2 linked regions of the Neodiprion lecontei genome follow. The protein of the gene in region 1 purifies or fractionates together with the protein of each later gene. This does not show direct contact. Links are inferred from orthologs where the notes say so. Each region holds a gene or a part of one and is shown on either strand. Other genes may lie near its edges.

What was found. Proteins that work in one complex are often made in the same cells at the same time.
Region 2: the proteins of PHD finger protein 14 (region 1) and high mobility group protein 20A purify together in Homo sapiens (affinity purification with mass spectrometry; 3 studies listed by BioGRID and IntAct, counting the BioPlex papers as one, with this or other methods). This does not show direct contact. The link is inferred for Neodiprion lecontei from reciprocal best matches to the Homo sapiens genes PHF14 and HMG20A.

Annotation. Positions count from the first base shown.
Region 1 is NC_060262.1:25,242,906-25,246,660, reverse strand, and holds the start of PHD finger protein 14, read left to right. Parts: upstream 1-1,137; 5' UTR 1,138-1,328; coding exon 1,329-1,371; intron 1,372-2,086; exon of another isoform or gene 2,087-2,240; coding exon of another isoform or gene 2,241-2,253; intron 2,254-2,440; coding exon 2,441-2,605; intron 2,606-2,689; coding exon 2,690-2,935; intron 2,936-3,151; coding exon 3,152-3,363; intron 3,364-3,699; coding exon 3,700-3,755. UniProt on the Homo sapiens protein: Histone-binding protein. Binds preferentially to unmodified histone H3 but can also bind to a lesser extent to histone H3 trimethylated at 'Lys-9' (H3K9me3) as well as to histone H3 monomethylated at 'Lys-27' (H3K27ac) and trimethylated at 'Lys-27' (H3K27me3).
Region 2 is NC_060263.1:14,866,030-14,869,784, reverse strand, and holds high mobility group protein 20A, read right to left. Parts: upstream 3,046-3,755; 5' UTR 2,457-3,045; coding exon 2,372-2,456; intron 2,249-2,371; coding exon 2,068-2,248; intron 1,902-2,067; coding exon 1,787-1,901; intron 1,666-1,786; coding exon 1,501-1,665; intron 1,437-1,500; coding exon 1,355-1,436; intron 1,274-1,354; coding exon 1,058-1,273; intron 958-1,057; coding exon 821-957; 3' UTR 285-820; downstream 1-284. UniProt on the Homo sapiens protein: Plays a role in neuronal differentiation as chromatin-associated protein. Acts as inhibitor of HMG20B. Overcomes the repressive effects of the neuronal silencer REST and induces the activation of neuronal-specific genes.

The sequences.
Region 1 (3,755 bases):
AAGAAAGATTGGTTCGTGATGAATGTTAAGTGAGTTTGAATTATACTGTGTTATTAGAATGGACTTCTATTAATTCTAAAGTCTTCAAGTATTAGAAGTGTAGTAGTTAGTTAATAGTTTACTGGTGAAAAATAGTGGTACTCTGTAATTCAGTATTAATACAAAAGGCCCCAATAACCTCACAATAGGTATAGTATCAAAGACCAGCCGAAGTTATTCTTAAAAGTTCAGCTGACTGTCGTTCTAGACTTCGCTGGAACAAAATATTTTGAGGCAAAATTCTGGTGTGAAAGGCAACCAAGTAAATACGTCAAATTTCCAGTAAAGCTAATATAGTATCCATTTCAATTTGTCAAATGGTTCCTACCGTGACTGTTAAATAAACTGAAAAACATACTGAAAGTCTGTACGGCAAGTTGTTTCAAGGTATTATCGGTCAATTAGGAACACGAATTAGTACTTCCCTCGGGTTGATCCGAAGGTCGGAAGCCTATTATAAGGGGATAATATGGAGTCAGAAAAAATGTGTAACTAGTAGCAGGCATCGAAATCTTGCAATCGATACGTACACCATTAGAAATGTGACGCGTTAATTATTATTGCAGAATCTAGTGGATATTTACTAAGATTGCGCTGGTTACGGTACAAAAATTGTAGGATGCGTTTTGACCGATAATCTACTCAATTACATAAGCTTCAGTGATTATTGAAAATTCATGTACCGGTGATAAAGAATTAGTTCTGAAATATGTATCAAGCCTGATTGTTGTACATTCTTTAACTTCTCTATTACAAGATAGTAAATTGATGAATATTACGAGTAATGTTTTACGTTGTAAAAATATAAATACATTTGCACTGTGACGTAATAATTTTTTTCAGGTAGGTACAGAATATTAAGAATTATCTTGAGTGCTCAATCATCTATAAATCGTAAGAAATTCCAATCGATATTGTTCTTAATCGATGAACGGAGAATCAGGAATTTGAAAATCAGCGCCGTAGGACAAAATTCGTAGACGTTCGTTATGGCGGATATCTATAAATGTACCACCTGCGCAGAAGAGAGGCGCGTCGATATGCGCAACTTCATCAAAGTGTATTGGTCCAGGACAATTCGTGCTTTAAGTTCCGAGGGGTATTACCTGTGGGCTGCGAGCTACAGTCAGGTTGTAAAGATAAAAGTGAGGGGTGCGTTTCGAAGCTTTTTTTTGTCGAATGTTCCGATTGACAGCTGCAAATCTTGACAGAATTTTATACTCTAGCTAACGCAAATAAATCACACTATTAGCGCAGAAAAGAGGTTGTGCAGTTGAGTTACGGCGATCATGTCTCAAGACGACGATGTAGGATTTTTATACAAAACAATGAGTGAGTACCTGTTCTAGACCTGCGTCTGTTATTGTCAATGATCCAGGCAATCTGCAATGTGTACGAACGTGTCTATAGTTCATTCACCATACATTCATTATAGTTGTGATACGTCGTGTTATTGCTTCGAAATTTAAATAGACGACAGCATTTAGAGAACGTGGTTTATTATCCACGCAACCGTATATTGCGTTTTATAACTCGCTATCGAGTGTGCGAATGATCTGTAATTGAAGGTATCAAAATACAATCGAACTATTATCTTATTTACAAGGAGTAACGTTACTTTTTGGAATCGTGTAGAATGGTGTCAACGCGAGCTGGGAATAAATCGAAATAGGGTGGCGATTTAAGTTTCCAAAAATAATTGCATACGCGGATAACTATAGAACGATCAAAAACGCGAACGGCAAATCATTTCGCACGTAAATTTCGGGTGCACAACGTGTGGCGTCAACCGGCGTTTTGCGAAGTCAATGAACGCAGCGTGACATGTGCCGGTAAACGATGGCGATACGCACGCATGAATGTCGGATCGTGGTATGCATGCATCACAGAGTTTGATACGTGCACAGAAACACGCACACTGTCACATAGCGTGCGAAACGCGTGAGGGGTGGTGATTCTACGACAAGTCTTGACAGCAGTGGGGGGGATATTTAGGGATTTAGGGATTCAGGGGAAAATCTGCCTCGATACATAAACCGGAGTGCGAAGTGGGAACCACCGCCAAGCCAAGCATTCGGGCTATGAATCGTGTAAAACGGGGTGGCAGATGAAAGAGAAATTATTATTCTCGGCGCGTTATTTTTGCTCCGATTCCCATTGAATGTGATATCGGTATAGTGTCAGGTCCGTTTTTAAACACGATGAGTAGTTCATGTGAGTATTCCAGCATTAAAGTCCGACACATAACCTATACTAACCTTTTTCCTTGCGTGCTCAAATTTTTTGGTGTCATTTTACGATAATGTCGTTTGTTTTCACGACGTGGAAATCAGGTAGAATAACTAGAAAAAATATCCAACTTGTATCCGTATTCATCAATTTTTCAATTCTTTCTCCAAAGTTGAACGTGATCCAAAGAAAAGACGAGTCAAACCCGTCGATTCGGCCCAACAATCATTGCTTGATTTCGATTTGGGCGAGAGTTCGGATGACAGCGATTTCAGAATCGAAGATCATTGTGAGGAGTCAGACGACGATTCCGTTGACTCTCACGATGTTGGAAAAGGTAGGCAAAGCTACATATTTTCAACTTTAGAACAACGCAAAAGTGTTTAGGACAACTGCTAATCTTTTACTTCCTCTTCTTCAGATGAAGACGACGATGAATCAGAAGAGACCGATGATTCTCTCGAAGAACCTTTGGTTCGCGGAAAAGGGATTGGTGGGATGACGGTCTGTGATGTGATTGAACAAGCACGGCAACAAGCTGCCAAAGCTGGCCAATTCGATGAAAAAGTTGCTAAAGTTTTGATCTGTTGCGGTTGTTTGGGAGACAGAAGCGACGATATTAATGAAATTGTTGAGTGCGATGGATGTGGGGTCACTGTTCACGAAGGTAATTATTAACTTGTATTTATTTTATAGGTATCAATAGGTACCAGACTTTATTACACATCTTTGACACTTTAAACGAACCATAAATGTTTGAAATCTAACAAGAATTAATAGATATGTCTGAGCATTGTTTGCTCTGAATTGCATGAAAGCGTGAGCCACATTATGACTGGACGGATTGATCATTACTACTACGAATTTTTTATCCTCCACACAGGCTGCTATGGCGTTTCCGATGTTGAGAGCTTTTCTAGCACCGATTCACTTTGCCAGTCAGCACCATGGTTCTGCGAAGCTTGTAGTGCTGGTGTTGACGATCCTTCGTGTGAACTCTGCCCCAATAAAGGTGGAATTTTCAAAGAGACCGACGTCGGGAAATGGGTTCATCTTGTATGCGCCTTGTACGTTCCTGGGGTTGCTTTTGGAGAGGTAAGACACTGTCTTGTCATTTATACCAATGATAGATTAAGGAGCATAGTGTTTTAGATCTACACATTGTGTAGTAGATAGTTTTAATGCAAAGTTCTATAGTAAAATATATAAACTTTGATATTCCGCGCTATTGAACAAAATTTTGTTACTTAAATGCAATGCAGATATAAAAAATTTCGAAAAATTCTGATTCTTTCCAGTGTTTCAGTGTAAGAACCCTTGAATTTGTTGAGTGTAATTATTTTAAATCTTTGTTTCCATCTTGATTGGCATTGAAATTATTGTCAGTATTAAATAATCAGGAGATTCGTATCAATCATGTGATTAAAATAGGTGGACCGTCTGGCAAGTGTAACATTGTTTGAAATGGCATACAGCAAATGGGGAGC
Region 2 (3,755 bases), on another chromosome or scaffold:
ATCCTACCAATATTAATGATTTGCACATTTAATTAACAATGATTAAGCCCAAAATCATACTCAAGACTCTGTAAATCTCTGGCAGTTTACATTCCATAATAACTCTCAGAGTAAAACCTTTTCGTGCCAATTTATGAAAACCAAAATGGAATAATACAATCATTCGAAGTAAGATTAAATAAAATCTATAGCCATTTTGATAATCAGCTTCGTGTAATTACTGCAGTTAAAAATAATACGACACTTAATCCTCAAGGGAAACAAGTAATTGAACCAAAATGAGCTGCGTAGCTGAAAGTTTAATTAAATTGAAGACAAAAAAAACAAAATATAAATACTAGTAATAATTGAATGTTTCAGAGATAACTTTTTCTTCTCCCTCACTTCTACATAACTCAAGTAATTAAATTACACTTTACACGTACGTTTAAGAGCTAATCTAAAGCTATCGATTCAAATACATGATCATTGCGAACTTTCGCAGTGCTATATACAACATAGGGCGTTTACTCACACTTCTTTTATAAAGTGGTCGAACGTCCTTCTCATGATTTAGATTTATTTTCACCCAGTATCTCTGTGTCTCGTTACCACAGTGGTTACATGACTCGATTCTTTTACTCAGAAGTTCCGTTTCTTCCAACTCAACAAGGAATAGGAAGATTTTTATCATTTTTACCAAACTGATAGAGTTCAACTTGGTTCAGTTCCATCAATAAACTCATTTTCGATGGGAATGACGCGAGCGATGATGTTTCAAGGTCGTTATAGAGTTTGTAGTAATTGGGATCGTTGCTGTTGTCGTTACAGGGGGTGACCGTCATCCAATCAACTCCAGGCGTGATACCGCGGCACGAACGGTATTTCGCAGTCCAGGATCTACGTTACTGCTAAGTAGAGATTCTAGTCTCTCGACATATCCGTCGATATTCTGCAAGGTAGCGCCGTCGTGAGTGCCTAACAATGGGGAAAATAGATAAGGTTACAGTACAGGAGTATTAGGTTCTGAAAGCGGTGCCACAATGGTTTGTATAATCTTTTTTTAGGATCAAACTACCTTGTAAAGGTATAGTAGCAAAGCTCCCTGCTAATTGGGATCGTAGTGAGTCGAGATGACGCTGAAGCGATTGATTAGTCGCACGCTGCTGGCTTGTTTCGGACTCTAATCTATTGACAGCAGCGTGCAAACTGTCTACATGGCGCTGAAGGACTGCGTTTTGAGCCTCATAATCGGAGGTGGCTTTTCGTAGCTGGCGCAACTCAGCTTCGCAAGCTGAGGGAAAATAATTGATATGAGGATTGTCTTGTATTAGGATAATGCAATAAATATATGCTGAAATGTTCGAGATATTACCTTTGTTATGATCCAAAAATTCTTCTGTAAAAATTGGAATATCAAATCCAGAGAAATCGTGATCCTTCTCTTGCTGTACTTCCTAAAAAAGAATATTAAGTCATTTCAAAAAGACTGAATTAACGACAGTACTGCATGATACGTACATTTTGTTCCAAGGTTGGTTCCGTTCCGTTTCTCTCTTTTTTATTCTCACTGAGCTTCTCGTTGTTCTGTTTTTCACTAAACAAACGATATGCTTCAGTTTGCTTGTAGTCAGTGATCTCCCGGTTGTAACGTTCCTTGTCCTGCTCAGCAGCATCTAGATATTGCTATAACAACCACAGAATGAATGTTCAAAAAAAATGATCTTCCTCAGAGTCTGGAAGCTGCAGAAATTAGCTGTAAAATAATGTTGTCAACAAGGTTCAACTTTTGGTTCTCAAAACTCACCTGTTTCTGATCTACCGGTAGTGAACTCCACTCCGCAGCTAGCATCTTAGTAATCTCGGGAAACGGTATGGAAGGATTCTCAGTCCTCACCTTTTCTCGCCGATCGTTCAAGAATCTGAAGGATACAGAAAGAATTTGGCACCATTCAAAAATAAGTAAAAGCATCTTTCGACTGAACTTTGCCAGCAGATTGTTTGAGTGGTTATTGCGTAGTAACCAGAAGAAATGTGTCCGACTTTCTAAAGACAACTGAGTAGGCAGCGCAAGTCAAAGATTCTCACCGAAAATATCCAGTCAGTGGCTGTTTGGGTGCCGTTGCATCACGAGGAGCCTTTTTCCGTTTTTTACCCCTACTAACGGAAGCTGTACCGCTACTGGCGACGACGGCAGTTTGGCCTTTTTTTTGGTCGCTATCTACACCAGAGTCAGGAACTTTGTCTTCTACAGTTCCAGGTGATTTGTCTGTGAAGAAGGAGGATAAAAAATCATGAACAATGTGAAGTCAGATGTTGGTAGTACGGAAATTCAATATTCACAGGTGGCTGGTATTTTTCAAAGCGCTGTGTTATTACAGATGGTACTCACTGTTCTCAGCTTCTCCATTGAGGGCAGGTTGCGCTGACCCTCCATTTAGTTCGACCATTTCGTTGGTAACAGCAGTTTCACTCATTCTTCGATATTCTCAAGCTAATTAATAATCATAGACGCATATCGGATTGAAGATGGATCGAAACATGTCGAGATCCAGGTGACGAACAATGCGTTTTTTGAATTCAAAGAAAAGAAACTGCCAACAAGATCGTTGAGTAATTGAGAATTTTTCAATCACTCACTCTCAGAGATATTTGTTTACAAAAATCCGCCTGCTCTTCCTCTTTGCATACAATCCCTAAAAACAGCTCGACAAAAACCAGACTTCGAAAACTGACACTTCGCAAGCCTTGCAATCTCGGCTCTATTATTTCCATAAATAACGCGCAATGCTGTTATTATTTAATGCTCGTCAAAAAGAACTCGAAATGACGCTTCTTTGAGGTTATGATTTCAATTTTTTTTACGTCTCAGCCACGAACCTTGGCAAGAAGGACTGTTGACCAAACGCATGACGTAAAAACGGTTGAATTGAATGGAAAAAAGAGCGCCCCCTAATCCACGGCTGGTAAATGAATGCCTCGTTTGAATGTCGTTTGTTCGATTTTATTTGTTATGATCTTCACTCCTTCAGTAACGCCTTCAGTCGACGTGATTAAATTTAGATTTGTTTTAAATAACATTCACGAAATGAAATCCTGTGCACACATAGTGATGCACGACAAAGGAAAAGATCGTTCCAGATCTTCTAGAAGATCTAGAGAAATATCACGAAAAAATTCACGAGATCACACATCGTCTAGAGATAGATCAAAGTGAGTCTCCGATAATTCATCGATCCCAAAGATTTTAAGTCTACGCGGCTCATCAATTCTGAATTTTTCTACCCTGTAATTGGCATAAAGCAAATTAATTCAATCTTTACTTTATACCACTTATGACGAGTTACAGGGTTAATAACACAACTAAAGTGATTATATTGTGGAAACTTATCTTGGTATCTCGATTATCGTTTTACATAATTCAATTTTTGAATCATGAAAACATGGCGCTGCTTCTGTGTTCGTTCGTGAAAAGCTTATTTTTGTGCTACCATAGTCATAGATTATGACTGTAGTCCGATGCACCTCCTGTAGGCGAAAAATTTAGCACAATTGATCAAATTGCCGAACGGAGTAAATCCCGCCCCTCTATCACAACATACTCTTTGTGGTGCAGTTAAAATTTGCTTGCACAAGCTTGTTTGACGCCGACGCGAATAAAGCAGATTGTACAAGTTTCAACATAGCCATCTTCTGTTCAATAATACACGTTTGTAAAATTATATTAAATAGTTTACCTACGTGTTACATTTCCCTCCCTACTGGGCCATCTACCA